Canis lupus familiaris: one gene and its partners. The protein of the gene in region 2 binds, or shares a complex with, the protein of the main gene of each other region. Links are inferred from orthologs where the notes say so. Each region holds a gene or a part of one and is shown on either strand. Other genes may lie near its edges.

Evidence for each region.
Region 1: NUP153 (region 2) and NUP205 share a complex: the UniProt entries of both Homo sapiens proteins name them as parts of the nuclear pore complex. The link is inferred for Canis lupus familiaris from reciprocal best matches to the Homo sapiens genes NUP153 and NUP205.
Region 3: NUP153 (region 2) and NUP93 share a complex: the UniProt entries of both Homo sapiens proteins name them as parts of the nuclear pore complex. The link is inferred for Canis lupus familiaris from reciprocal best matches to the Homo sapiens genes NUP153 and NUP93.
Region 4: NUP153 (region 2) and NUP98 share a complex: the UniProt entries of both Homo sapiens proteins name them as parts of the nuclear pore complex. The link is inferred for Canis lupus familiaris from reciprocal best matches to the Homo sapiens genes NUP153 and NUP98.
Region 5: NUP153 (region 2) and NUP188 share a complex: the UniProt entries of both Homo sapiens proteins name them as parts of the nuclear pore complex. The link is inferred for Canis lupus familiaris from reciprocal best matches to the Homo sapiens genes NUP153 and NUP188.
Region 6: NUP153 (region 2) and CETN3 share a complex: the UniProt entries of both Homo sapiens proteins name them as parts of the nuclear pore complex. The link is inferred for Canis lupus familiaris from reciprocal best matches to the Homo sapiens genes NUP153 and CETN3.
Region 7: NUP153 (region 2) and NUP85 share a complex: the UniProt entries of both Homo sapiens proteins name them as parts of the nuclear pore complex. The link is inferred for Canis lupus familiaris from reciprocal best matches to the Homo sapiens genes NUP153 and NUP85.

The regions. Positions count from the first base shown.
Region 1 is NC_049237.1:12,272,354-12,275,847, reverse strand, and holds part of NUP205 (nuclear pore complex protein Nup205), read left to right. Parts: intron 1-1,530; coding exon 1,531-1,697; intron 1,698-3,244; coding exon 3,245-3,368; intron 3,369-3,494. UniProt on the Homo sapiens protein: Plays a role in the nuclear pore complex (NPC) assembly and/or maintenance. May anchor NUP62 and other nucleoporins, but not NUP153 and TPR, to the NPC.
Region 2 is NC_049256.1:17,831,655-17,835,154, reverse strand, and holds part of NUP153 (nuclear pore complex protein Nup153), read left to right. Parts: intron 1-804; coding exon 805-1,161; intron 1,162-1,834; coding exon 1,835-2,107; intron 2,108-3,500. UniProt on the Homo sapiens protein: Component of the nuclear pore complex (NPC), a complex required for the trafficking across the nuclear envelope. Functions as a scaffolding element in the nuclear phase of the NPC essential for normal nucleocytoplasmic transport of proteins and mRNAs.
Region 3 is NC_049223.1:58,826,693-58,830,783, forward strand, and holds the start of NUP93 (nuclear pore complex protein Nup93), read right to left. Parts: upstream 2,801-4,091; 5' UTR 2,798-2,800; coding exon 2,779-2,797; intron 1-2,778. UniProt on the Homo sapiens protein: Plays a role in the nuclear pore complex (NPC) assembly and/or maintenance. May anchor nucleoporins, but not NUP153 and TPR, to the NPC. During renal development, regulates podocyte migration and proliferation through SMAD4 signaling.
Region 4 is NC_049242.1:26,465,201-26,469,216, reverse strand, and holds the start of NUP98 (nuclear pore complex protein Nup98-Nup96), read left to right. Parts: upstream 1-1,216; 5' UTR 1,217-1,375; intron 1,376-2,319; exon of another isoform or gene 2,320-2,338; intron 2,339-4,016. Other genes in the region: PGAP2 (post-GPI attachment to proteins factor 2), read right to left, coding at 773-861. UniProt on the Homo sapiens protein: Plays a role in the nuclear pore complex (NPC) assembly and/or maintenance. NUP98 and NUP96 are involved in the bidirectional transport across the NPC. May anchor NUP153 and TPR to the NPC.
Region 5 is NC_049230.1:54,798,197-54,802,286, forward strand, and holds the start of NUP188 (nucleoporin NUP188), read right to left. Parts: upstream 2,801-4,090; 5' UTR 2,756-2,800; coding exon 2,724-2,755; intron 1-2,723. Other genes in the region: DOLK (dolichol kinase), read left to right, coding at 3,167-4,090. UniProt on the Homo sapiens protein: Component of the nuclear pore complex (NPC), a complex required for the trafficking across the nuclear envelope. Required for proper protein transport into the nucleus.
Region 6 is NC_049224.1:18,661,794-18,665,955, reverse strand, and holds the start of CETN3 (centrin-3), read right to left. Parts: upstream 2,801-4,162; 5' UTR 2,661-2,800; coding exon 2,644-2,660; intron 424-2,643; coding exon 288-423; intron 1-287. UniProt on the Homo sapiens protein: Plays a fundamental role in microtubule-organizing center structure and function. As a component of the TREX-2 complex, involved in the export of mRNAs to the cytoplasm through the nuclear pores.
Region 7 is NC_049230.1:6,133,619-6,137,118, reverse strand, and holds part of NUP85 (nuclear pore complex protein Nup85), read left to right. Parts: intron 1-2,782; coding exon 2,783-2,866; intron 2,867-2,966; coding exon 2,967-3,032; intron 3,033-3,219; coding exon 3,220-3,371; intron 3,372-3,500. UniProt on the Homo sapiens protein: Essential component of the nuclear pore complex (NPC) that seems to be required for NPC assembly and maintenance. As part of the NPC Nup107-160 subcomplex plays a role in RNA export and in tethering NUP96/Nup98 and NUP153 to the nucleus.

The DNA of each region.
Region 1 (3,494 bases), on a different chromosome or scaffold from region 2:
GTAATTGAGGATTAAGTTGCTGTGATTAAAATAAGCTCTAGATGGCTCCAGTGAAATGCAGCTCTTTTCTTTATGTGTAATTAGTGGGAAAATTTGTCAATGACTTTAAGAAAGATCAGTAAGGAGGTACTGGTGTCAGTCCTGTGGATAGGTTAGAGAGCTCAAGAGGACAGAGAAATTCAAGATTTTCTAAGGATAAATTTCAAAGAGCTTTGGGTTTGAATAGTATTTGAGACCCCAAAGAAAGTATCTAAGATGGGCAAGTAAACTAGCTGGGTGAAAAATGTACAAACATAACAGACGGTTTATGCGTAAGATCATGTTAAGCTGAAGGTAGTGTCTGAATTGGGTCTCGTAGTATAGCTCCAAATTTCTGTATCACAGCAAAGTAAAGTGTGGATGCTAAGTAAACTGACATAGTCTGTGATTTCCTAAGGACCCAGTAGGTGAGATCTGGAATGTGAGGGTTGTGGGTTGATGAAAGCTGTTATCCCATGGGACCCTCAGAAGACAGTCTATTCGGATGTTAGTGGTGCTTGCTCTGTGATTTTTCTGCAAATCATTTTGTCACATTTTCATCTTCAAGATCTTATTTTCCCTGAAAATTGCTTAATCACATAAAAGATTTAGTAGGATGGTGTTATTAAAGTATATTAGTTTAACAGTATCTAACCACTGTTTCATGTAAATGGTGCCAGGAACTAACAACTCTGTGCAACTCCATTATAAAGTGTCCAAGGGGCTCCGTTCTTCCCCCTTGAATCTTTTTTTTTTTTTTTTTAAGATTTTATTTATTTATTCATGAGAGACAGAGAGAGAGAGGCAGAGACACAGGCAGAGGGAGAAGCAGGCTCCATGCCAGGAGCCTGATATGGGAGTTGATCCCGGGTCTCCAGGATCATGCCCTGGGCTGAAGGCAGCGCTAAAGCGCTGAGCCACTGGGGCTGCCCCGAATCTAACATTTTAAAACAAGTTAAGTTGAGCCTGATCATAACATTTTCAAATGAAATTATAGTTTTGTCATTTATTCTTCAAAAACATTAATAATCATCACTAACAATTAAAATTTCACTTGCTTTCTTTTCACTTTGAGCCTGTCTTTCACATACTAGGCCATTCTCCGATCTTTAATACTTGATGAACTTTATGAAGCCTAATATATATTGGTCTTTATTCTTCCTTAGACTCTTTAAAGATTTAATCAGCAAACTTAACCTTTGCCAGTCGTAGACACAGGAGGGGGTGGGTTTGTGGTAGATTCAGGAATATTCATTTGTAGAGAAGCAGTTTAAGCTAGCAGTTAAGAACAGAGACTGATGATGAACTGCCTAGATTTGAGTCCCAGATCACCATGGCACTTCACCACTCCTCTGAACTGTCAGAAGTATTTAAAAGTAGTTGTGGGTTGGTTTTAATAATAGTTTACATGCCCTTCAGTTCTGGGCATCCCTTGTTTTAAAACAGGTCATTTGAAATTCATTTAATATTCTTGTAAGTGGAACATTCTGTTTTTATTATCAACTCTATTAGATACCCAAGCTCCAGTGATTCCATATTGGCGCCTGCCAGGTTTGGGCATTATTGTCTACCTGCTGAAACAGAGCGCTAATGATTTCTTCAGCTATTATGACAGTCACCGACGGAGTGTCAACAAGCTACAGAATGTAGAGCAGCTTCCACCAGATGAGATAAAAGAGGTATGAATCTTATAATGAGCCATGGAGATTTTGGAGAATCCTTGCTTTTCCTAATGACCAAAATATTGGTGTCCGACTTGTGTGTAAAGATGATGTATGCAGTGATAAAAGGGCTTGAAATGATGCCTCTGTGTGGTTTGAAGAAGAGTCCTCCCCGTAGCACCACACCTGGTAATCAGGGCAACACTTGAATGGAAGATGGTGAAGTGCATCTGTTCAGGAACACCACCTGCTACCCTTCAGTAGAACGGCAGCTGGCTTTTGAAGTAGAGTTTTGGTAATTCATACTCTGAAATCTGTGCTGAGAAACCTGGGTTTCTGTTGCAGATGCTTATTCAGTAGAAGTGATCCCTTAAGTAAGAGGTCTCTGTGTCTTCAGCATCTTCAGTATCTGTTTAGAGAATTTTTCAGACAAATGGGATAGCATATAAGACTTGACTGCCTGCCCTCAGTGACCCAGAATCATTCACCGATATTGTAGCTAAAGATACTGAGTCGCTAGGCTTACATCCTAAGTAGCCACTTTCTCTCCCATCCGGCACAGCTGAATGACACAAGGCATACCCTGGCCGGTGCTGAAGCTCCCTGGTGGCCCGTGGCAGCCTAGATGTGGAGCCATTTTGCCATTCCTCCTTTGCACCAACTGTCCTGAAAAGCTCCGCATTACTCTTCAGAGTAGTCAAAACCTCCTCCCTCTTGCCTGCTTCCAGCAATCATAGGGAGCAGTTGGTGGGTGTTTCTGATGTGCCAGACAAGTTCTGTTGCAATACATGAGGCAGATAGTGTAGCCACTCCTATTTTCTCAGATGAGGAAGTGGAGGCCCTGGAAGTTTGAATAATTTACCCAAAGCCACACAGCTAGCAGGTCCTGAGGCGGGAGTTACTGATGAGGTTCTAGTAATCCCTGAAGTGGGGGGCTTTACATCTGGCAGCCCTTCCCCAACACGCGTAGCTTACGGGTGACACCAGCACTCGCCAGAGAAACGGCAGCCTTCCTGGCAAGTGTGCGGTGCCCTCCCAGCCCCACTTCAGTTTGCCTTCTGTCCAACCCAGCAGCTGAATTTTGAATCGGACCGCAGTGCTTATGCCAAACAGAGGTGTGATGAAAGGAGGTTCTGGTTGATGAGCCTATTTTAGTTAATGCTGTAGAAATCGGCTTTTACATTTTCTTCAGAAGATACATGACAGCTGTTACAGAAAATCTCCATGGCGTTGTTAGACCCACGGCCTGAAAAACCTACTGTTGAATTTTGTTTTAGTTTGACAAGAGATTCAGGGTTGGTCGGCCCCTCAGCAGATTGGAAACATCTGTTACAGAGATAAGACCTTTTGCAGAAATCGGCAGAGGAGTCTTCATTTGTGAATTCCACTACTTTGGCTCTCGGTTTTATAAAGTTACCAGCTTCCTAACCAGATGATAACTCTCATCTGCAGGAATGTTTAAACTTCTTTGTTTTTTTGCAGGGCCTGTCATAAGTGACCCTCTCTTCATGAAGTTTCTGTTAGTTTATGTAATCGCTAATCCTGCGTTTGTTTCTGATTCTCAGTTGTGTCAGTCTGTGATGCCTGTTGGTGTTGAGAAAATCTCTACTGCCCAGAAATATGTTCTAGCAAGACGGCGTTTGGTGAAGTTGATCAATAATCGAGCCAAACTGCTTTCCCTCTGTTCTTGTATCCTTAATGAAGTCACAGTGGGAACTTGAGTGGTGGTGACCTTTAAGAAAATCTTTAAATGCGGGAACTGTTTACTGATTCTCACACAGCAAAACTGTATAAAAGGGACATATTGGGACATGA
Region 2 (3,500 bases):
GTGATCACACAGCTGTGTGTTGTTTGTGCTGTGCTCACTGCAAGAGTAGCTCCCATCTGTCACCGTAGGATGCTAGTGCAGGACCATAGACTCGTTCCCTGTGCCCTCTTTGATCCTTGTGACCTAGTCCTTCCATAGCTGGAAGCCTTAATTTGTGGAGTGTGACAAGCTATAAGCTTGTTTTAAAATTTATATGGAAGGGAAAATGCACAAATTTTGGAGAGAAGGGCAGGAACACAAACAGGTTTGTTCTAATATCAAACCATACTATGAAGCTACAATAATTAAACCAGTCTAGTAACAGTAACTGTAGAGAAAACAAATGCACACATATTTTGGAGATTTAGTATGTCCTAAAGGTGGAGTTACCAATTAGTGAGTTGAAGGATGCACTGTCAGTAAATAATGCAGAGAAAAGTGGCTGTCAGTTGGATAAATTATGATTTTGCTAACATAAATGGCAAAATGAAGAGTACAGCTGTCTCCCACTATCTGAACAGTTATCCGGACATATCCTCCAGTTAGATGTGTTGGACTTAAGTGATATTTTTTATTCTCATTAATCTGAATGCTGAAAGTGTGCCTGGTCTAAGATACAGTCCAAAAGCCATCAAAGAAAAGATGGGTATGTTTGCTTTATATCAAAATTTAATATAACATGTCCATTTGATGAATACATTTATATGAAAAAAGCCTAATGATTCTGTTTTCTAATGAATTACTGGGCTGGAGAGTGGGAAGAAATGCTTTCTGTGACTCCTTTTCTTACAGATTTTTGTTTCCCCCTTCGTTTCTGTCTCTCAGATCCAGGTGCAGTGAAGTCTGTGTTCAGCTTCTTGAACAGCAGTGCTTCCACTTCGAGCGCACCAGCAACATCAGCCCCCGGGGGCATATTTGGTAGCTCCACCTCCTCCTCCAGCGCGCCTGTGGCTGCCTTCGTGTTTGGACAGGCCAGCAATCCTGTGAGCAGCTCTGCCTTTGGGAACTCTGCCGAATCCAGCGCATCTCAGCCTTTGCTGTTCTCTCAAGAGAGCAAACCAGCAACCACGTCCAGCACAGGCCCAGCTGTCACACCATTTGTCTTTGGTCCTGGAGCCAGCAGTAATAGCACCGCCACCTCTGGCTTCAGTTTTGGAGCTACAACCACCTCCAGCTCTGCAGGTACTTTGACAGAAGAACAACATACGTGTTGTAGTTGGACTGGCTTGAATTATATCCTCTCTTAGCAAATAGCGTAGCAGGTTTTCACAGAATGGCCTGGGTGCCGTTAGGTCCTCTTTACTCAGGATGTTGTAACTGTTCACTGCATGGAATCCTGTATAGTTTGTATTCGGTTTAATAGAATTAAGTCTTGGGAAGAATTTTTCTAGTCTCAATAAGAATGTCATGTTGGTTTTTTCCACTGTTCTTTTTGAAATGTTATGTTGTTAAGTAACCAGAAACTGGGGGACCGTTCCGTTAGACAAAAGTCCTCATTCTGTAGTATATACAGGATGACAACGTTAGTTGGTTTCTGCTCTTTATTAGATATCTGATGAGTTATCGCCTGTTGTCTTAGATGGGCCCTCTACCTAAAAAAAAGTTTGGCTGTGGATGTGGGTTTGTTAATAGGTAGATGATTTTGTGTATGTGCATTCTGTCTGTATGGTTTCACTAAATAATGGCAAGAACTGTATTCTTAATTATTTATTGAAAACTTGCCTTGATGGGATTTGTACAGGTAGGTAAGTGTATGAAAAGAAGCTTGAAGTTTGCCGCTGAAGGTATAGATGTTTCTTGAGAATTATCTCCTAGTAGCTATTAAGGTGACATCAGTGTTTCTCTGGGCCTCTAGGATCCTCCTTTGTATTTGGCACTGGACCTTCAGCACCATCTGCCAGTCCAGCATTTGGTGTTAACCAAACCCCGACATTTGGACAAAGTCAAGGTGCCAGCCAGCCTAATCCCCCAGGCTTTGGAGCTCTGTCCTCTTCAGCAGCGTTGTTTTCTGCTGGTTCTCAGCCTGCACCACCTACTTTTGGGACCGTGTCCAGCAGCAGCCAGCCTTCTGTGTTTGGACAACAGCCCGGTCAGTCTGCATTTGGCTCTGCAACAGCTCCGAGTTCCGGTGAGTGTGTGCTGGTCACATGGCTTGTGTCTGTACTTAGGATCTGTGTGTCTTAAATAGGATGGTTTTTGAATTTTGAAACCAGGCTTATGTCTTTTTTCTTTAAATGTCTCTTGTACTTGGCGAAATAGAAAAATAGATGTTTGGACATTGCTGTAAACAACATTCTCAACTTTTATATAATGAAGCACACTATAAGGTATTAAAGCATGTGATTTGGCATGCCTGGGGGCTCAGTTGATTGTATTCTTTAGGCTCAGGTCATGATCCCAGAGTGTTGGGATCAAGCCTCACACTGGGCTCCCTGCTCAGCTGGGAGCCTGTTTCTCCTTCTCCCGCTCTCCCTGCTTGTGCTCTCTTTCTGTCAAATAAATTAAAAAAATACATTCTTTAAAAATGTAGTTATTTCTTACTCTTTGATTTCTTACTCTTTGTAGTTATTTCTTACTCTTTGATTTACATTCTTTAAAAATGTAGTTATTTCTTACTCTTTGAAATTTTTATTATTCAAGTATTGATGACACACCATGTTGTATTAGTTTCAACAGCATTGATCAGTCCTGTTTCTCCCCATCTGATTTTTGGAGCATTCCAGCCTAGTTTTAGCCATATTTTCTAATCCAACACTCCACTGTGATTGGATTTACTTCAGAAGGTTATACCTCCACTCCAGTTTTCTCCTGGGACAGAATAGCCCAAGCACCCAGGATGCTTTCTGTTTGATGATACTTGCATATTTAAACAAACATTCCTCTGTGGTTTTTTTTGTTTTGTTGTTTTTTGTTTTTAATATGGCTGCTCACATTGTACTATGATGATATAGTTCCTCAGAATTGCACGATGTTAATTTTTCTAACTGAAATATGACTTCATGTAGAAAAGCATGAAACATAAAGGAACAGTGTGGTGTTGAAGCAGATGCTTGGATGGCCAGCAGCCCCTCCTGGGTCCCTGTGTGATCACACACCTCTCTCTCCTTGCTCTCATGTGTCCTGGCTTTTATAGTGATCACTTTCCTGGGGTTTTAATTTAAAATTAACTGCTGATACATGAATCTCTACAAAATACCATATTGTCTTATTTTTAATTCTATATAAATGGAATCTCACTGTATTAAGTCTCTTGATTTCTTGCATCTTTCACTCTTAACTTGTAAAGTTGATCCATGTTATTACATATAGTTTGTTCTCCTTCACTGTGTTAGTCAATCTGTTTATGAACATATCACAATTTATCCATATACTGTTCACGAATGTGTTTGAGTTGTTTTTACCTTTTAGGAAATGTACCTCTGCTCATTCTTGGGTATGTGTCTTGGGGCATATTTTTCTAGGGTATATACACCCAAGAGAGGGACTGCCAGATTAAAAGGTGTGCATGCATATCCAATACT
Region 3 (4,091 bases), on a different chromosome or scaffold from region 2:
CCAGAGTGGATAGGAGAAGCAACTCCAATCCACAGAGCTGTTAGGCACCCAGGGTACTCTGGTGGCATTGTGGCTGGATGGACAAAAGAACACAGGTCTCCTGACTAACCCCGTGTTATTCTCACATATTTGCTCCTTCGCTAACAAAAGACAGTCTTTTAAAATTCATGTTTCCATTCACACATTCTTTAGCTTACAAGGTTACTGAGAGCAGATATCTATGTCTGCTGGTTACAGATGACATTCAGAATATTAGACTTAACTGTTACTATACCTACTACTTTTAGAAATGCCATTGCTGGGGCACCTGGGTGGCTAAGTGACTCTTGATTTTGGATCACATCATGATCACAGGGTCATGAGACTGAGGCCCTCATCTGGCCCAGGAGCCTGCTCTCTCCCTCTCCCGCTGCCCTTCCCTCACCCTTTCTCTAAAAAAAAAAAAAAAAAAAGAAAGAAAAAGAAATGCCATTGCTACTAATAATTATACTAATATAAATAGCAGCTGGCTTCTAGACCATAAATATTAACAAGACCACCTGTTTCTCCAACAGTTGACAGAGCAAAGTCATATGAACAGTATTGCCATTTAAAAGATATTACACATTTATGAATCTTACATATACTGTACCATCCTTGTATAAGATTCTTGACCAACAGAATGTTTTTAACTCTACCACTATTTAAAACAGAACATAAGGGATCCCTGGGTGGCGCAGCGGTTTAGCGCCTGCCTTTGGCCCAGGGCGCGATCCTGGAGACCCAGGATCGAATCCCACGTCGGGCTCCCGGGGCATGGAGCCTGCTTCTCCCTCTGCCTGTGTCTCTGCCTCTCTCTCTCTCTGTGTGCCTATCATAAATAAATAATAAAAAAAAAAAAAATTTAAAAAAAAAAAAAAAAAAAAAAAAAATAAAACAGAACATAAACATTATCACCATCAATTTTTTTTTAAAAATTTACATTGTTAAAAGGTTAACAAAATTATTACTTATTGAAAAAATAAGGGCAACCCTGGTGGCTAAGCGGTTTAGCGCCGCCTACAGCCCAGGACGTGATCCTGGAGACCTGGGATCGAGTCCCACATCAGGCTCCCTGCATGGAGCCTGCTTCTCCCTCTGCCTGTGTCTCTGCCTCTCTCTCTCTCCTCTCTGTGTATTCTCATGAATAAATAAATAAATAAATAAAATCTTAAAAAGAAAAAAGAAAATTCCTTAAATAGTAGCTCTTGTTAATCATACTTTTCTTGGTTTTAAACCCATGCCTTCCCACTGCACCTTTAAAATACCACTGGTCTAATATGATAGTTACATATCTCAGCTACAAAGCACAAGTTAATGTTAAAAGGGCATGGTCATCAACATAAATTCAGCGCAGGAGAATGAGGACTTTTTAAAATGGACATTAGAAGACATTAACTTGGGATCCCTGGGTGGCGCAGTGGTTTGGCGCCTGCCTTTGGCCCAGGGCGCGATCCTGGAGACCCGGGATCGAATCCCACATCAGGCTCCCGGTGCATGGAGCCTGCTTCTCCCTCTCCTATGTCTCTGCCTCTCCCTCTCTCTCTCTCTCTCTGTGACTATCATAAATAAATAAAAATTAAAAAAAAAAGACATTAACTTAAAATAAATAAATAAATAGATAGATAGATAGATAGATAGATAGATAGATAGATAGATAACTGACATTAACTTTAAAGGTAAAGGCACCAGGTTAAAACAAAAATAGTTCAGCTGGGGTAAACACAAAAACACTTTGGTATTCTTTAATCTTTAGAGACAAAAAGTCATATACACACTAACTTTTTCCTAAAATTTCTAGATAATCATTGTTTTGACCCAGTAGAATGAGGCTGTAACTGGCCATTTCTACCTGTGGGAATATCAGGATGGCAGGACAAGGAATGAGTATTCTCTTGGACAGAAGAAGAAAGAAATTAGTATTTTTAAACAACACAGCTCCTGTCTGATAGAGAAATGTTTTTCCTCAGAAACCAACAGGGCCAGTAACATTCTACTAACAGAAACATGGTCACTCACCAGAAAAAGGAAAGAAAAGTAATATACTACCTCTTCCCCCTACCCCTTTTAACTCTAAGATAAAAATAATGAACAGAGCTAAGGAGTAGGAAATACTTTCTTTCATAAGGAAAATTTTAGGCCTCCTTGAATAAAGGACTGAATAAAACAAACTTTTCTAAGTTTAAAAAAGAAGGAAAAAAACAAGAAAGAAATACATCTAACATTTCATATCCATGCCAGACAAATTCAGACAAAAGAAATGCTCAACTTCTCAAATGACCTGCCCCCACAAAGACTTAGAGTAATGAATCTGAATATAAATAATAAATGCAAAATAAAAATCACGATTTACTTTAATAGGGTCCAATAAATAAGATTTTTTTTAAAGTTAACAGAATTATTTGACTACAGTAAAATAAAAGCTGAATCTCTAAACACCATCTTAAAGTTAACATGCCCAAAACTGAACTCTATTGTCAACAAAACCCATTCCTCAGTCTTCTCAGTGTGGAGCCACCACTACTCAGCTGCTTGGGATAAAATCCTTGAAAGCCTTCACAACTAATCCAGGACCAACAGTGCCTTTCAAATCTACCCGCAAAACGCACCCAGAATCTACCCACTCAAGTCACTACCCTGGGCCTCCCTGCTTCAGCTCTTGCCTCCTACGTTCCACGTGATCCTTTCAAAGAACCCTTCCTCTGCCTAAACCTCTTGTACAGAGCAAAGCCCTACAGAAGCAGCCTCACCTCCTCTTACCTCCCGGACTTGGACTCATTTCCAGCCCTGCCTCCTTTCCCTTTCCTGGGCTCCAGTCACCCTGGAGCCTCCATGTTAGCCCCCCAATGACTCAGGCACATTTCTGCTCTAGCGCCTTTGTACTCCTTGTTTCCTCTATCTGGAACACTCCTCTCCCAGATACGCTCCTGACTGATTTCTCTGTTTCAGCTGAACTGTCATCTTGCCTTTGATTCTAACCTAGAACAAAATATTTAAGAGTGCAACCTGCAACCACCCCCAGCACTCCCTCATCTCCCTTACTGTAACCCATGCCAGAATGTAAGCTGCACAAGGACAGGGATTTTGTGTGTTTTATTCACTGATATATCCCAAGCTTCTAGAACAGCACCTGGCACATAGTAGGTGCTCATTTGTTGAATGAATAGGAATTTTATTCTTCCATTTGTGGAGAGTCTGTTCTTCCTGCACTCTCCTGCCAAATTAGCACCCACTGGCAAGCAAAGACCAGAGCAAAAACATTCCCTTCCGACTACCAACTGATACTTAACATTTCTGAGGCTGCACAGCATAAGGCAGTGACAGTATAAATGGCATGAATTCAGATCACACTTGGTCCAGACTAGTACTTTCCCTCTGAATATCCAGACAAAAACCAGTGGTATTTTAGAAGAAAAAAAAAAAGGCCTAGTTTTCAGGTGAACAGAATTTCAAATCAAAAGAATAAATAAGTATATGTATAGAAAGAATTTCATTATACAACTTCAGAGTACAAAATAAGTTTGTTCCATGTCTGTCTGAGAGAAAGCTATATACTTAATACAATACATGGGAAAAACTGGATCTGTCCTACATTATAACTCACCCACTGGAAATTAATTTATAAAAAAATTACTGAAGTTTCATGATGAGGTCATCATCCCATTTCATTAAAAATTTTAAATTTATGATTAATTTCATAAAAGGACAATTTTTACCCCCTCTACAAAATAAATATCAATTTAACCACAATTAAACCAACGAACTTATCAGTTTTGACCTCAGATACTGAAAGTTCATCATGAAAATAACCTCACTAGCTTTGTCCAAGAGAGAACTGGGGTGGCAGCGAGGGGGTTTAAGTCCAAACTTTGTTGGTAAATCTGACCAGGACACAAGACAGAGACTGGATGCCAGGTGTACCCTTGGTGAGCTATGGAGGAGGAAGCCAGGAAGAAACCACATGAAGGACCCACAGAAGTGGAATGTGGAACAGCCAATGCAACAAGATTGGGGCTGGATGGAAAGAGGACAGCACTAGGGCTCTGCCATCAATGACTGAGCCTGACAGTAAG
Region 4 (4,016 bases), on a different chromosome or scaffold from region 2:
CTACCATTGAACACTAAGAGGGATTTAAATTCATCTACTTTTGTGCAGAGCCCATTTCAGTCTTGTATTGATGTTCCAGGAGAAGGTGGTGGTGGAGAGTAGTCTGAATAGGTTTTGCTTTCTGAGCACAGTCCCTGCTATTCTGTGTCAGGACTCTCAGTTACTGGGTCTGGTTTCTAGAACATGCTCAACATTTCCCCTTGTAATACTTCTGTTTTGGACTAGGCCAGGGTGGGGAAGGGAAACCTTTATGAATAAAATGCCGCTGTGACCTTAAAGAGCCTGGGCACAGAAGACAGAAAAGTAAATAATAGGATACAAAGTGACAAAGCTGTAACAGAGGCCTGCCCAACCAAGCAGTAGCCCAACACTCTGAGACAGATCTGGGAATGTATCCCAGAGAAGGCGGGAACATTTGAACCAGGCCTTTAAGAATAAATAAGAGCTCCTAAAGTGCAGGTGGTTAAGAAGTTCCAAGAATACTCATTTGTAACATATCCTACCCTGAGCCATTCCCTTAGGGCATGCTCATAGCGTCTATTCTGGGGATTCAGAGAGGAAAGGTTGTGACGGGGCCGGCATAGGTTGGGAAACCAGGAGGCCAGGTTTTGGGGCCTCAGAGCAGCTGCAGGCGAGCTATGCGGAGAGACAGACCTCCCAGGAGGGCCCTCCAGCTCCGCACGTGGTCTGGCCAGGAAGTACGGGCAGGACTACGGGGAAGCCTTCCCATCACCGCCCGCGGACTGGGGCAACGAAAGGGTAGAATAGTTACCATGCCATCCTGGAGCCTCCCCTCTGATTGGCCCGAGCTTCAGCAGCCTGACTGTCTCGGCTCCAACGCGGGGGGCGGAGCCTCGGCATAGCGTCACCACCCTTCTCCCGCACCCCGCCCAGTGCACACCAACGCAGCCACTCACAAGCCCGCCTCGCGGGGGCCTTGTGTGACGTCACGACTCGCCCCAGCCAATCGCGGCAGAGGGGGCGGGACTCCCTGTCCCTCCCACCGTCCCTCCCATTTCCCCCCCGTAACTCCTCCCGTTCCTCCTCTTCCCCCTCGCTCCTTCTCCCGAAGACCGCCCTCACGTTCGGTTTCAAAAGACCAGTTGCCCAATGAGTCGCAGGGCGGGCCTAGAGTGGCGGGGGCGTCTGCCAATGCGCAGGCAGCGAGGGCGGAGCGCCCGGGGCGAGCCTGTGACGGTAGGCGGCGTGTGACGCAGTCGGGCCCTCTGCGCGCTGCGCCCGAAGCGGCGGTCGGTGGCGGCGGTGGTATCGGCGGCGACGGTTTCGTGGCGGCCGCGCGCTGCTCCCCGAGCGGCGGGTGGCGGACGGGCCTAGGCCTTCACTCCTGACACTTCCCTTCCCCCACCGCACCGCGGTAAGTGGAGAGCCCGGGCGGTGGCGGCCCCGGACCGACAGGCTCCTCCTCCCCTCTGGGCGGGCGGGTGCGCGGGGCGTCCCAGGCCCTCCGCGCCGAAGTCTCGCGCCCGGGCGCGCACCTTCTGCCCCGAGGGAGGGGGCGGGGCCCGCGACCCCGCGGCCCCGCGGCCCCGCGGCCCCGCGGCCCCGAGGCCCCGAGGCCCGGCTCTGCGGGCGCTGGGAGGGGACCGAGGTCCGGGGAGCCAGGGCCCCGGGGTCTCCCGTGGCAGCCTGCGCTCGGGGAGCGTCCATGTATCTGGTGGTACTCATTCATTTGCCTGGCGGTGATTAGGTGGGCGGGCCCTTTGCGGGGGCCGCGTCTTAGGACCCTGAATAGGATCTCCCCAGCGCTTGCTTGGTTGACGGTCGTTCGGGACGGGCTTTAATTTGCCTTGACGTCTCCACGGGGGAGATGTGCAGCCCGGCGTTTCGGATGGGTGGGTCGGGAGTTTGTTAAGCTTTTTAACACAAGATCTGAGAATTAAGATCGATCTAGTGGAGTAAAAGGTTATTTTCTGCCCTCCCACGTGTTTCGTGTAAAGCTAGAGGAGGAGAAAGGTGGGATTTCTGGATTACTGTAGCTTTGGGGAACCTTAGAAATTAAGCCAATCCCCCTATCGTACATCACGTGCGAGTTTTATAGGTGGAGGAACTGAGGTCCAAAGAAGGGACAGGATTAGGATTAGCCTGTACCAGATCCGCCTCAGTCTAGAAATTTTTCTACTGTATCACTCTCCCTGGGTGTTCCATCCTCCTATTATTGAAGGTTCAATTTGGAACCTTTGGGGGGAGGGGGGTGGGGGCTTCGGTATTTAGAAGCAGCCTTCAACAGCGTTTCTGCGTGGTTACCAGTTCTGTTCGTGTTAAGGCAGAAACTTCATCTGCGGGACCCTAACCTAAACCATGAGAATTAAAAAGTTGGGTAAGGAATGTCGGTGATGTAAATGTATTGGAAACAAATGGATAAGACTCCCATGTCTGGCTAATTTCCTATTCCAAATCTGAAATTATTTGTGTCAGCTGCTGGGGACTCAGGAGACAGAATCCACTTAGTGACTCATAAGAGTTTTGGAATAGAAAGCAGAAAATACAGACAAGACTTAGATAGGCAGCGGTAATTTTGTAGTTCTTGTACCTTGGAATTTATGGCTCCTTCCTGACAGAATTCAAAGTATTGTAGTGGGAAAAGGTGAGGAAATGAAACCTCTCTTTGGAAGCAGAAACTAACTGGAAGAAAAGAGCAGTGATCATCCCCTGTGACGACAGTCTTAGAAATTCAGCTTGTTAACTGGGAGACAGATGATCTATTCACTTGATGGAAGAAGTTAGGAGATTTAAAAAACAAAACCAGAACTGGGACAATTTGCAGGTACTGGGAAATACTTTGACAGAAAAAAAAAAATTTTTTTTTTTGACTCTTCATTAAGATTTGAGGAAATTGAGTTAAAAGTTGCCACTTTGGTCTGTTCACACTGGTCATATCACATGTTCTTGTTTAGATGACAAAGCAAAAACTGAAAACTAGTGTGTAAGAGCAGAAGAGAACGGTAGTCTAAACACAGAAATGTGAAGAGTATATTTTCTGTGACATTTTCTCAGTTCAAGCATCACCCTCTTCTGGGAAGCCTTTCCTGGCATTCTGTCTCCAGCAAGCTTCCATAACACTTATTTGATACTTCTATTTATAGCACACATCATTTTGTATTTTAGCTGTTTATCTTATTAGACTGTGGTAAAATATTTTTATCTTTTTAAAAAAATTATTTATTTATTTTAGAGAGGTGGAAAGAGAGAGAGAGGGAGAGGGAGAATCCAAGCAGACTCCCTGCTGGTGTGGAGCCTGACTTGGGGCTCAAGCTCACAAACCTGAAATAATGACCTGAGCGAAATCAAGAGTTAGATGCTTAACTAAGTCACCCAGGCACCCATTTCTTCTCTTTGTATTCAGATTGCTTGCCACCTAATAGGCGTTCAGTGTTTACTTGAAGGGATAAATAGGGAGCAGGGAGCAGCTAAACCTAAAAATTGTCTATTAAAAGACTGATTATATGTGTGTTCCTGAAATATGGGGCCTAGATAAGAGGACTTACACCGTTCATATGTTTCGTGGTACTTTGGTACCTGACTTTATTCATGTCTCTACTAGTTCCTAGATAGTTGAAATCAAGCTTTTAGGGAACCAAATTAACAGCTCGGAAGAAATTGAGTATATTATTTTATTGTGATATTTTTATTGTAGTAATTAACCTAGGAAGTAAGGGTTACTACTAATGTTTAATTTCCAACAGAGTGCACATCTGTGATTATGCAGTTTGTTGAAAGGTTAGGGGCGGTCTAAGACATTTTTGGAGATTTAACAATATAGATATTAGAGTTAAGGTACCTAAACATTGTTTCTTAAGAATTTGGTGCGTTTCTTTTGGTTAGGAATTGAACCTAAGTATTTGGCATAGCATGTCTCTACAGAAGATTTTTCAGCCTCTGCACTGTTATCATTTTGGGGCAGGTAATTCCTTTTGTCTCAAAGCTATGTTTTGTATTGTAGGGTGTTTAGCAGCATTCCCCACCTTTACCCATTAAATATCCATAACACCTCCTCC
Region 5 (4,090 bases), on a different chromosome or scaffold from region 2:
TTCTGGTCTAGGAATAAAGAGGATACAAATGAATCAAAGACGCTTCTGATACTCCAAAGTTTAGTGTTGGGAATGACAAAGGACATTAAGTACATATTACACAATCAGCAAGAAAGTAGAAAGTAATAAAAAGTATGATCCTAAGAATTAGGCACTACAAAGGTTTAGCAGGATACAACCATGGCCAGAACTGTGGTGTCTAATCCAAAGCTATAATGTCTCTCATCTCTTTGCATAATTAATAAGTCTGATCTAAGTATTTGGAGGAAACCAAAGCACAGAAACTAAAAACATTGCCTCAAAGGTAGAGTTTTAAAAATTTATGGACTTTCAGCCCAATGTTCCAACAGAAAACACGGAACTCCATTTCTAAAAGAGTTGGACTAAATGGAAACTGGAAACAATCTTCCTGAAAGAAATCCATGCAGTTGGAAATTTCCAGAGGAAAGCTACTAGGAGGTTAGGAAGAAGAGCCTCTACGACAGAGTCCTTTTGGTACAAAGCTGAGACACAGCCAACCTACTCTGAAATAGTTCTTTTGAGAAAGTTATATTCCACAGGGAGATAATAAATGTGGCCACTGTCCACGGATGCCCTTACTCCACAGAGGAGGTACATGCCTCTTGTGTGAACTGAGATTTAAGCTTAACCAGAAGCTTTTCAAACCACTGGTGTTTTTGTTTTTTTGTTTTTTTTTTTAGCATACATACACCACCATGACTTCTACAAACACATTAACTGAAGGACAAAAAAGATATCTAAAAATGCCAATATTCGGGATCCCTGGGTGGCGCAGCGGTTTGGCGCCTGCCTTTGGCCCAGGGTGCGATCCTGGAGACCCGGGATCGAATCCCACATCAGGCTCCCAGTGCATGGAGCCTGCTTCTCCCTCTGCCTGTGTCTCTGCCTCTCTCTCTCTCTCTCTGTGACTATCATAAATAAATAAATAAATAAATAAATAAATAAATAAATAATTAAAAAAAAAATGCCAATATTCAAAATGACTGTCTGCCAAACCCTAAGGGACCTTCCTAAAACCCTGAGTGATTTAAGTGTATTATTCTATTTTTGACTAGTGCCAGCTAGCAACACACACAAGGATTCTCCTATATGCTTCAGAGCCATTTCAATACTACTCTGAAAAGGGCTCATATTTGGGAAAAAAACAGGTTCCAAGGGTAAAGTGGACTGTCTGAGGTCACTTGCAAATCAGCAGGCACCAGCAATAGATTTTAAGTTTTCTCTTAGTCCAGACCTCCAGGCATTCCAAACAGAAGGCTGCTACTCAGTATAATCCCAACAGCTATAATGTGCTTTCCAGCACAAAAAGATCACTCTAATCCCTACTCTGAGCAAAGCAGTGCCTAGAAATCCTAGTGTCATTTCTTCCATCTTCAAGTGTGAGTTTGGTACGTTCCCAGGGACATCAAAGCATCTTTCAAGCAAACCAACCCCTTCCCTTCCCCTGTTCTCTATTGAAGAGGATGCCTTACCCTACAGGAGCTAGATCTACCCAACCTCCACAATGACTACCAGATAAATACAAATAAGGGGGGGGGGGGGCACAACGACCACAATGCTGCCAGATGAAACAGCTAGGGAGGAAAAAGAAAAGTCATCCTAGCAAAGTTCAGTAGTCCAGTGGAAATCCCAAAGAAGATCTCACTAGAGCGGGGAGGTGAAGTCAGTGGTAACAAAGAAGATAAGCAATGTGTGTAGTATTTACCGAGCGCCTATTACGTGCTCTTCTGGGTGCTGAGGACACAGCAGTGCATAAAAGTGGGGAGCCAGGGCTGGCACAGTGAGTGACAGGCATGTTGAATTTTAGGGCGGAGGGTGGTAGGGACGATGGAAGACACTTGAAGCGGAAAGGTGGAAGATGGAGGTGCGCTGACCTGGCTGAGGCTTCGGAGTCGGGCAGGCTTAGGTCTGAATCCTCACTTGACCACCTAGCTAGCGCTTAGCTGGACTCGTGAATCATCGGTAAAGAGGGTGCCTCTCGGTCTTGGGAGGGTTTCAATGAGCTAATGCACAGGAAGCGCTTCGCCAGCGTCTGGCGCTAGTAAGCGCTCTGTAAAGTAAGAACTGTCTCTTGTTTTAACATTTCATCTTCTCGTTCCCAAAGTCCACTACGGAGCCTGGGATCGCCTAAAAGACCCGGGCACGTCGGCCGACGGAGCCAATGCAGGAGGAAATGAGAAGATGGATGAATGAAAGGCTGCGAGGAGAAAGAGGGCAGCAACTGCAGCGAGGTGGCTCGGCCACACGCGGAACAGACCTCCCAACGAGCACATGGAGGAACCCGGGAACGTCGCCGGGGCAGGCAGGGCAACCGGCTGCAGCGGGGACAGAGGCGGGGGCTCCCCCCGGGCGACCGCGAAGCGCCCCGTCGCGCCTCGAGGGAGCGTCACGCCGGACAAGGAAGCGCGGGGTGGGGGGGCGGCGAGGAACGCGGGAGGAAGGCAAAGAGACTGGATGAAGAGACGGGAGGCCGGCGTGAGGCAAGGGGAGAGGCACCGGCCCCGTCTTGGAGAAGTCGCCTGGGATCCCCGCGCGCGGGGACCGTTTGGACGTAACCGCCTCGCGTCTCGGCGCCCGTCCACCTAGCGGGGCTTCACCCCGCTACCGCCGCCACACGTCTCGCCCGCAAGTCCCGCCCGGCTTCCGCTCGACTTCGACCCCGCGCCTCACTGCCACCCCCGCCGATTCGGCCCGCTCCGCACCTCACACACTGCCCGCCGGCGGCCGCCGCCATCTTCGCGCGCGCGCGCCCCGGCCCCGCCCCCAGACGCCGCAGCCACGTGACCGTTCGCCTCCGGCCGGGCTGTGGGCGGTGTTTCTTGTCACGTGACGGCGGGCGGGGCCAAGATGGCGACGCCCAGAGAGGTGAGGAAGCCGCGGTGGGAGCAGCACGGGCTGTAAAGAAAGCGGCGGAGTAGCAACGTCTGCGTCCTAGGTGCGAGGCCGTGGAGGATAGCTGGGCGCCAGTTCCCGAGCCGCAGAGAGAGGCTTGCCTACAGTGGAGCTTCCCTCCTCGCAGCTGGAGAACGGAAAGAGGAGGTGCTGGCTGTGTGAAGCTGCCGCTTTCGGCTTGACAAGGCTTGAGGGACCCAGAGGCCAAGGCGTCGCTAGTCACTCCGGTTTCTCCGGGGCCCGGTCTAGAGACATGACCCGAGAGCACGCTCCCCCGGTCCCCGGGGCTCCGCTGAGTGGGTCAGTGCTGGCGGAGGCAGCAGTAGTGTTCGCAGTGGTGCTGAGCATCCACGCAGCCGTGTGGGACCGATACTCGTGGTGCGCCGTGGCTCTCGCAGTGCAGGCCTTCTACGTCCAGTACAAGTGGGACCGGCTGCTGCAGCAGGGAAGCGCTGTCTTCCAGTTCCGCATGTCCGCAAACAGTGGCCTGCTGCCCGCATCAATGGTCATGCCTTTGTTCGGACTGGTCATGAAGGAGCGCTGCCAGTCCATGGGGAACCCATATTTTGAGCGCTTTGGAATTGTGGTGGCAGCCACTGGGATGGCAGTGGCCCTCTTCTCGTCGGTACTGGCACTGGGCATCACTCGCCCAGTGCCCACCAACACTTGTGTCATCTCAGGCTTGGCTGGAGGTGTCATCATTTATATCATGAAGCACTCACTGAGTGTGGGCGAGGTGATCGAGGTCCTGGAGGTCCTGCTGATCTTCGTCTACCTCAACATGATCCTGCTGTACCTGCTGCCCCGCTGCTTTACCCCTGGGGAGGCACTGCTTGTATTAGGTGGCATCAGCTTCATGCTCAACCAGCTCATCAAGCGTTCTCTGACTGTGGTGGAGAGCCAGGGCGACCCAGTGGATTTCTTCCTGCTGGTGGTGGTAGTAGGGATGGTGCTTATGGGCGTCTTCTTCAGCACACTCTTTGTCTTCATGGACTCAGGTACCTGGGCTTCCTCCATCTTCTTCCACCTTATGACTTGTGTGCTGGGCCTTGGCGTGGTCCTTCCCTGGCTGCACCGGCTTATCCGCAAGAACCCCCTGCTCTGGCTTCTTCAATTCCTCTTCCAGACAGAGACCCGCATCTACCTCCTGGTCTACTGGTCTCTGCTGGCCACCTTA
Region 6 (4,162 bases), on a different chromosome or scaffold from region 2:
TTAAAACCTATAGTTTGAAATCTTTTTATTACATGAGTGAAAATAAGGCCCTACCATAGTAATATACTTTTATATTTAAAATACTATTCGCTTCACAGTGTGAAAAGGAAAGTCTAAAAAGATGCTAGTATTTAATTTTATTATAGCACTTAACTGTGAACATCTCAAATGGTTTCATATTTCCACAACCAGTTTAGTTAAAATACTTTAGATGGGTTATTTTAGCCAACTATAGAAAATGCAAACAATTTTAACAGAAAAATATACATTTTAAAGTACATTATTACCTTTAGTTCATGATAATCTATTGCTTCATCTTTGTCTGTGTCAAACAGTTCAAAAGCATCTTTAATTTCTTGTTTCTGTTCTTCAGAGAGTTCTCTTCTTTTTTTTCTCTTTGTTTTGTCTACTACAAGCTCATTTCTATGAAATGAGAAGAAAAGTCTATTCAGTCTACTTTAATTCTATTCTCCTACACATCTAGATAATTAAAATTTCAAAATGCGACAAAGAAATTAAACAAGGAAGAATTTTTTTAATTTCTAAAAAGGAATTATTTGAGAGAAAAATGAAATTTTTCTTCCCATGAGTCAAAGCCTTGCTCAATCCATAGTCTAAGCTGCTATAAATCTGCACTTTCCAAAACTGAAAAGTGTTACATGTTATTATAAGAAAAAAAGGACCTAACTTTCTTTCCTTCTGGCTTTGTATTTATTCTGATATTAATGTGGAAGAAATAACTGTGAATAAAAAAATTATTCATCACAGAAATCGCAACAAAACTAAAGCACTCCTACTTATTAACATTACTCTACAACATAGTATTAAACTAATCAAAGGAAAATTCATAATTGAGGATCATTGCATATTTGGCTTACTTTTGAGAGCATTTATAAGTTATCAAAATTACTACCAAAAAAAGCGTATCACTTAACAATTAACTTACAAAGTTTGTGGCATTGTGGGTTCAAAGTGATTTACAGTACACATTGCTAAGTTTGGGGCTTTATTTATAATTTCTTCCATTGATATTAACAAATCAACCGAAATACTGAAGTCTAAATATACCATGAAAATTAAAAGCCAAAACAAGAATGTTTGTGCTAATTTTCTATATTTTTTAAATTTCTTAAAAGGAATTATTTGAGAGAAAAATGAAATTTTTCTTCCATGAGTCAAAGCCTTGCTCACCCCATAGTGAAGAGTCCATGGTTTTCTAAATTTCACTTGTAAATTTAGATATAGCTTCTCCTAAATCCTGGAAATTTCTTGAAAGTAGATTTTATTTAAAAAGGCAGAAATGGGGATCCCTGGGTGGCCCAGCGGTTGAGCACCTGCCTTCAGTCCAGGGCGTGACCCTGGGGTCCCGGGATCGAGTCCCTGCACCGGGCTCCCTGCATTGGAGCTTGCTTCTCCATCTGCCTGTGTCTCTGCCTCTCTAACTCTCAAGAATAAATAAATGTTAAAAAAAAAAGGAAAAAAAAAAAAAAAAGCCAGGTATGTCTTAAGAGATACTCATCTTAGTGTTCCAAAATTTCGAATGGTGCCGCAACATCCGTACAAGAAGTTTGAAACCAATTTCCTAACACTTTGAAATGTAAAGCCTAGTTGATTTTATTTAATAAAAACACCTTACCTATTTGCCTGTGTTTTGCTTTCTAAAAACCTACCACAAAACCGTCAAGAGACAGACGATCAGAAGATGACCAGGAGACCTATAGTAATAAACAGAGCGGGGGGACAACCTTTCACAAGACACCTGACTTCGCGCGAACAGGGACCCCAGTCCCCGCGGTCACCTTCTCTGGACGGCCAGGTCAACAGCAGGACCCGCCACGGGGTCGAGGCAGGGCTGCCACCATCATCTCCCAACCCAAAGCCGCACCTGTTCAGAAAGGCGTAACCACCTTTTTTTTTTTTTTTTTTTTTTTTTTTTTTAAGGTGCAACGTGTAAAAACATCTAGGTGCTGCTGCTGCTGGGGGCAACGAACGGGGTTAGAGATTGGAAGTCAATGAAAGGTAAACAAAACTAAAAAAAAATTTTTTTTTGAGAAATCAATTAAAGTCATTTATATGGGTCGCCCGTTATATCTTAAAGCAGGGCCCCAGGATAAGAGCAAGGAAGAGTTTAAAGCTCTTTCCAAAATTTATAGCTCGGTCTGACGGCTGCAGGGGCTGCAGGGGCTGCAGGGGCTGCAGGGGCTGCAGGGGCTGCAGGGGCTGCAGGGGCTGCAGGGGCTGCAGGGGCTGCAGGGGCTGCAGGGGCCGGAGACCCGGAGGGCGGAGCTGAACCCAGGGAGGCTCCCCGGCCTGACTTCGCGGAGAAACACCGCGAGAAGAAGCATCGCGATATTTCACTCCCTCCTCCCAACTAGAAACCCATCTCCTCGGTGGTGCAAAGCCCGACGCGCTGATACAGACGCTAACTACCTCGGCACAAATGCACGGGACTCCTCACCTGCGGAGCACCAGGGCCCCCAGGGTGAGGAATCCGAGCCAGGAAGGCTGGCCGAGGCTCCTCGCCCTCATCCCAAAATGCATCCCCTTCCAGCTCGCCTCGGCCCAGCTACCTCCCTTCTACACACGCCAGCCCTGGGGCCCGCTGCGAGGTGTGGAGGGCATTGCGGCCTCCTCATTACCGACCTCAGAGCTAAACTCATTTTCTCTTCGGACAGAGACGTTCCCCTCGAGAACGACTTTAACGCCCTGCCCAAGGCAGCACGACTTCCACAAGCCGTTCAACAGACACCAACGACCTCAGCGGCCTCAAGGACCTCCCACAAGGTAGACGCTTCGGAGTCGGATTGGTTGACGTTGCTAACAGCCCGCCCATTGAGGCGGAAGCGTCCCTGGTCCTCTGCTCTCATTGGGCGTGCTTCGCGTCAATCAAAGAAGCCGCTCGTCCCTCTTCTTCTGCCCCTCCTCCCCGCCCTTTATTGGCTTGTTGAGGTTTCCCGGAATCCTTTGCGGAGCGAGGGTCCAGGTGTCTGCGTGGTAGTTTGGGCGGTAGGTGGCTGCACCTTGCCTCCCGCTGGGTGACCGCCGACGAGATGGACGGCTCCGGGGGAGAAGGGAGGGAGGGAGGAGAGGCGCGCCGCGGGGCCAGCCTCCTTAGCCGAAGGGAGGGAGCGGCTGGGGAATGAGGCCTGCCGAATTTGACTGCGCTGTGTTCTAAAACCTTGGGTGGCCTGAGTCCATGGGGAGTTTGTTTAAAACGCAGATTTAAACGTCCCGTCCTCCCAATTCTGATTTTAGTAGGTATGAATTTGCATTTTTTTCCCCCTTACAATCCCACGTGCTTTTAAGGCAGGTGCTGTCGCTTATAGATTGTATATCTAATGGGTTGGATTATTAGGCTACTTACGGTAAAGCGGCACTTGACGGTACCTTAGCTCCCTTCTCCCTCCCTGAAGGGATCTGTTCTCTTGCATCCTTTGTTTTACAGGGTTGGAAGCTGCTTATACACGTTATATTATCTTAAGCTCCAAACTAAGTTCTTGAAGCTCACCTGGGTAATTTGTTTACTTGTTCATCACTCCTACTAGGCTTTCTTCAAGTGCAGGATGGTATCTTTCATTTAACGCGGATCCCAGTGCCTGATACGGTGCCTGATGCACAGGCGCTCAATGAATATTTGTTGCGTTGGGTGGGATCTTGCTGTGAAAACCCACAAATCACTGAACTAAGTTGTAACCCTTATAAAGGAGTGAAATAGCCTGAATATGGCGTTGAGGCAGGGTAAGGGGGAAGATGTATAAACACTATGGGCTATGTATAAAGGATATATATATATATATATATATATCCTCAACATATATATGTTTATATATGTTTTTATATATGTTTATATATAAATATGTTTATACGTATAAACATGTTTATATATTTAATACACATGTTTATGTTGGGATCCCTGGGTGGCGCAGCGGTTTGGCGCCTGCCTTTGGCCCAGGGCACGATCCTGGAGACCCGGGATCGAATCCCATGTCGGGCTCCCGGTGCATGGAGCCTGCTTCTCCCTCTGCCTATGTCTCTGCCTCTCTCTGTGTGTGACTATCATAAATAAATAAATATATATATATATGTTTATGTATATATTTATATATGTGTTTAGGTATATATTTTTATTATATAAACATATATATATATATATGTTTAAAGA
Region 7 (3,500 bases), on a different chromosome or scaffold from region 2:
ATGGTGGTCAGGAAGCAGTTTAGTAGGGATTAGTTATGTGTTAACCTCAATTTCAGATTTGCTGATTTTTATATTTATAGAGCACTAGTCAAAGGAATCTTTTTTAAGATTTTATTTATTTATTCATGAGAGACACAGATTGAGAGAGAGAGAGGCAGAGACACAGGCAAAGGGAGAAGCAGGCTCCATGCAGGGAGCCCGATGCGGGACTCGATCCCAGGACTCCAGGATCACGCCCTGGGCCGAAGGCAGGTGCTAAACTGCTGAGCCACCCAAGGATCCCCATGGAATCTTTTTTTTTTTTTAAGAATTTATCTGAGAGAACACGTGAGGGGGAGCACAAGTTGGGGGAATTTTATTTATTTGAGAGAGAGCCAGCAGCAGAGAGCATGAGTAAAGAGGAGAAGGGGGAAGCAGACACCCCACTGAGTAGGGAACTATATGTGGGGCTGGATCCCAGGACCCCGGGATCATGACCTGAGCCAAAGGAAGATGCTTAACCGACTGAGCCACCCAGGTGCCCCTTGGTTACTTTTTTAAAGATTTATTTTAGAGAACAAGAGAGGACTGTGTGTGCATTTTGAGGGGGTGTACAAGGGGGGGAGAGGGAAAGAATCTCAAGCAGACTCCCCACAGAGCATGGAGCCTGATGCAGGGCTCAGTCCATGACCCTGAGATCATGATGAGCCAAAATCATGACTGGGATGCTTAACTGGGGCACCCAGGTGCCCCAGTGTGTTTGTCTTTTACTCTTAGGAAAGTGGAGTTTTAATGATTACTTTCTATAACAAAATCAAATGTAAGTAAACTGGAAGCAGACTATCAAGATAGATAGTTTCAAGGTATAATCATGCATTAAGGTAAAAACTTCTGCTTTCATGATCTAAAAAGAATAGAGATTGGTTTACACTGAATTACTGGACAAATGTTCAAAACTTACGCCTTGTTCTTAGGGCTATGGATCCTCAAATATTCCATCTGTTCCAGGATTCCACCATTAGGGAATGCTCTTGTTTCTTGGTTTCAACTCAGGTCATGATTTCAGGGTCATGGGATCAAGCCCTGCATTGGGCTCTGTGCTGAGTGAGGAGTCTGCTTGAGATTCTGTCCCTCTCCACCTTCACGTGCACTTGCGCCCTAAAATAAAATCTTTAAAAAAAAAGTAATATTTTCCAATATTCTTTTTTTTTAAAAAGACTTTATTTATTCATGAGAGACACAGAGAGAACGAGAGAGGTAGACACAGGCAGAGGGAGAAGCAGGCTCCATGCAGGGAGCCCGAATGGGACTCGATCCTGGGTCTTCAGGATCACACCCTGGGCCGAAGGCAGACGCTAAACCGGAGAGCCACTCAGGGATCCCGTTTTTGGCAATTTTCAAAAATACCTTTTCTTGTATTTTTTTATATTTCCACAATCCTTCAATACTAAGAGTTCTATAAATTATGTGCTACACAAAGTCCTATCATGCTCAAGTTTTCAAAGAGTACTTCCTTGATCCAAGTTCTCCTTTAGCTATGGCTTTGCTAATTTTGTAATTCTGTGTTCCTTTCTGACCTTGTTCTTTTAGACAGGAGTCCCAATAAATAAGATCTGCTTGGTGAGGAGCCTGCTGCTTCTCCCTCTCCTCCTCACTCATGCTCTCTACTACTCTCTCTCTCTCAAATAAATAAAAACTTAAAAAAAAAAAAGTCAAGCATTATATACAAAGAGAAAGGCCTATGCCAAGTAACAAATGAGTAATATAACCAGAAATGATGTATGTACATACAGTAAGTGCATTGGAATACTCTATAGAGCATGATGCAGGGTGTTTTCAAACAACTGATGATGTAAAACAGTGATTTCCAAGGCATTTACTTAATCAGACCTTTAGAGGGCCCTAGAAACCTTCACTTTTAACAAGGGCCCCAGGAACTTCTAGGTTTTGATTAAAAGTGTGGTTTGGGAGAGGACTTCACCTTCATTGTGGCCAGAGTACATATACGATAAAATTATAAATCTTGTAATTGAACAAAATTTCTTTATACAAAGTACTAATAGAAACCTAAACAAAAGATGGTTTTTAAAAGTATCATGTATATATATGTATATATATAGTCCTATTCATAAAGTATATTAATCAAAAGCTGTACAATGAGAAGCATTAATAGTGAAGCCAGCTGCAAATATATTGCTTTGAAGTCCATGTTTCCTCAAGCATCAAAAACTACCAGTCTCTTAGTCTTTTGTTGATTTCTGTATTTTTGATGTGTTAGTTTCAGGTTTACTACATTTGACAATTCTGTACATCACAAAACGTTCACCACCAGAAGTGCAGTTACCATGCGTTACCACATAAAGTTAGCATAGCTATACTTTTCATTTGCATAAATCACTCATAACTGGAAGTTTGTACCTTTTCACGTAGTTCTCCAGTCCCCTACCTCCCTCTGTCTGATAACCACCAGTTTGTTCTCTGTGTTTATTAAGCCTATCTGTTTGTTTGGTTTTTTTTTTTACACATTATTTTGTATCCACATTCTCTGCATGTGATTGGATCCCTGAATTTTATTTTCACTGTGACATTTTCCAGAGATCTAGATTGTTGGCTTCCACTTTGAGGGCTTACCATCCTTCTGAGTATCCACTGTCCGTCCCCACATAGCACATAGCTGTGTGCTTCCAGACATATTTTCACTTGTTATTGTCCCTCCCATCCTTTTATGCAAAGGATATGCAGGCTCACATGGGCCATATAGTCACCCTGACTCTCCTTCTTGCCCTGGTGTTTGAATCTGTAGTATTGCTCTGAGCAACTGGTGGTTTGTGGCCCATCTGACAGACCTGCTGGATCACTGCAAGCTCCTCCAGTCGCACAACCTGTAGTAAGTGTGTGGCGGCCATGCCTGCCCTTGGGTTGGGCTGTGGGAGGGCCCTGAATGGAGCAGGCCAGGGGTTTGGGTCTCCTGTTATGTTTTCTTTCAGCTTTGGATCTAACATGAGAGAGTTCCTCCTGCTGGAATATGCCTCAGGACTGTTTGCTCATCACAGGTAGGAAAGCCCCAAGGATATGAGGTGCTTTTCAGCATGGATGTACCACTGGGTCTTGGATTGTGCTCTCCCCTGTCTGGTTCCCTGAAGGCAACGGGTCCAGGGGAGGAGTCATCTTGGTGCCAGTCCCCAAGCTCTAGGGCAGCACATGGGCTCATCAGTCGCTCCTGTCCTTGGATGTTTGCAGCCTGTGGCAGCTGGGAGTGGACTACTTTGACTACTGCCCTGAGTTGGGCCGAGTTTCCTTGGAGCTGCACATTGAGCGGATCCCCCTGAGCACTGAGCAGAAAGCTCTCAAAGTGCTGCGGATTTGTGAGCAGCGGCAGATGACTGAGCAAGGTGAGCCCACCCTCCTCCTGCATGCTTGCTGCTCATGCTGCTCTGGCCGGACTGGAGAACGGCTGGGCAGTGGGTGCCAAGAGATAAGCCAAAACAGGAAAATTATTGAGGAAGGACAAATGGCTAGGG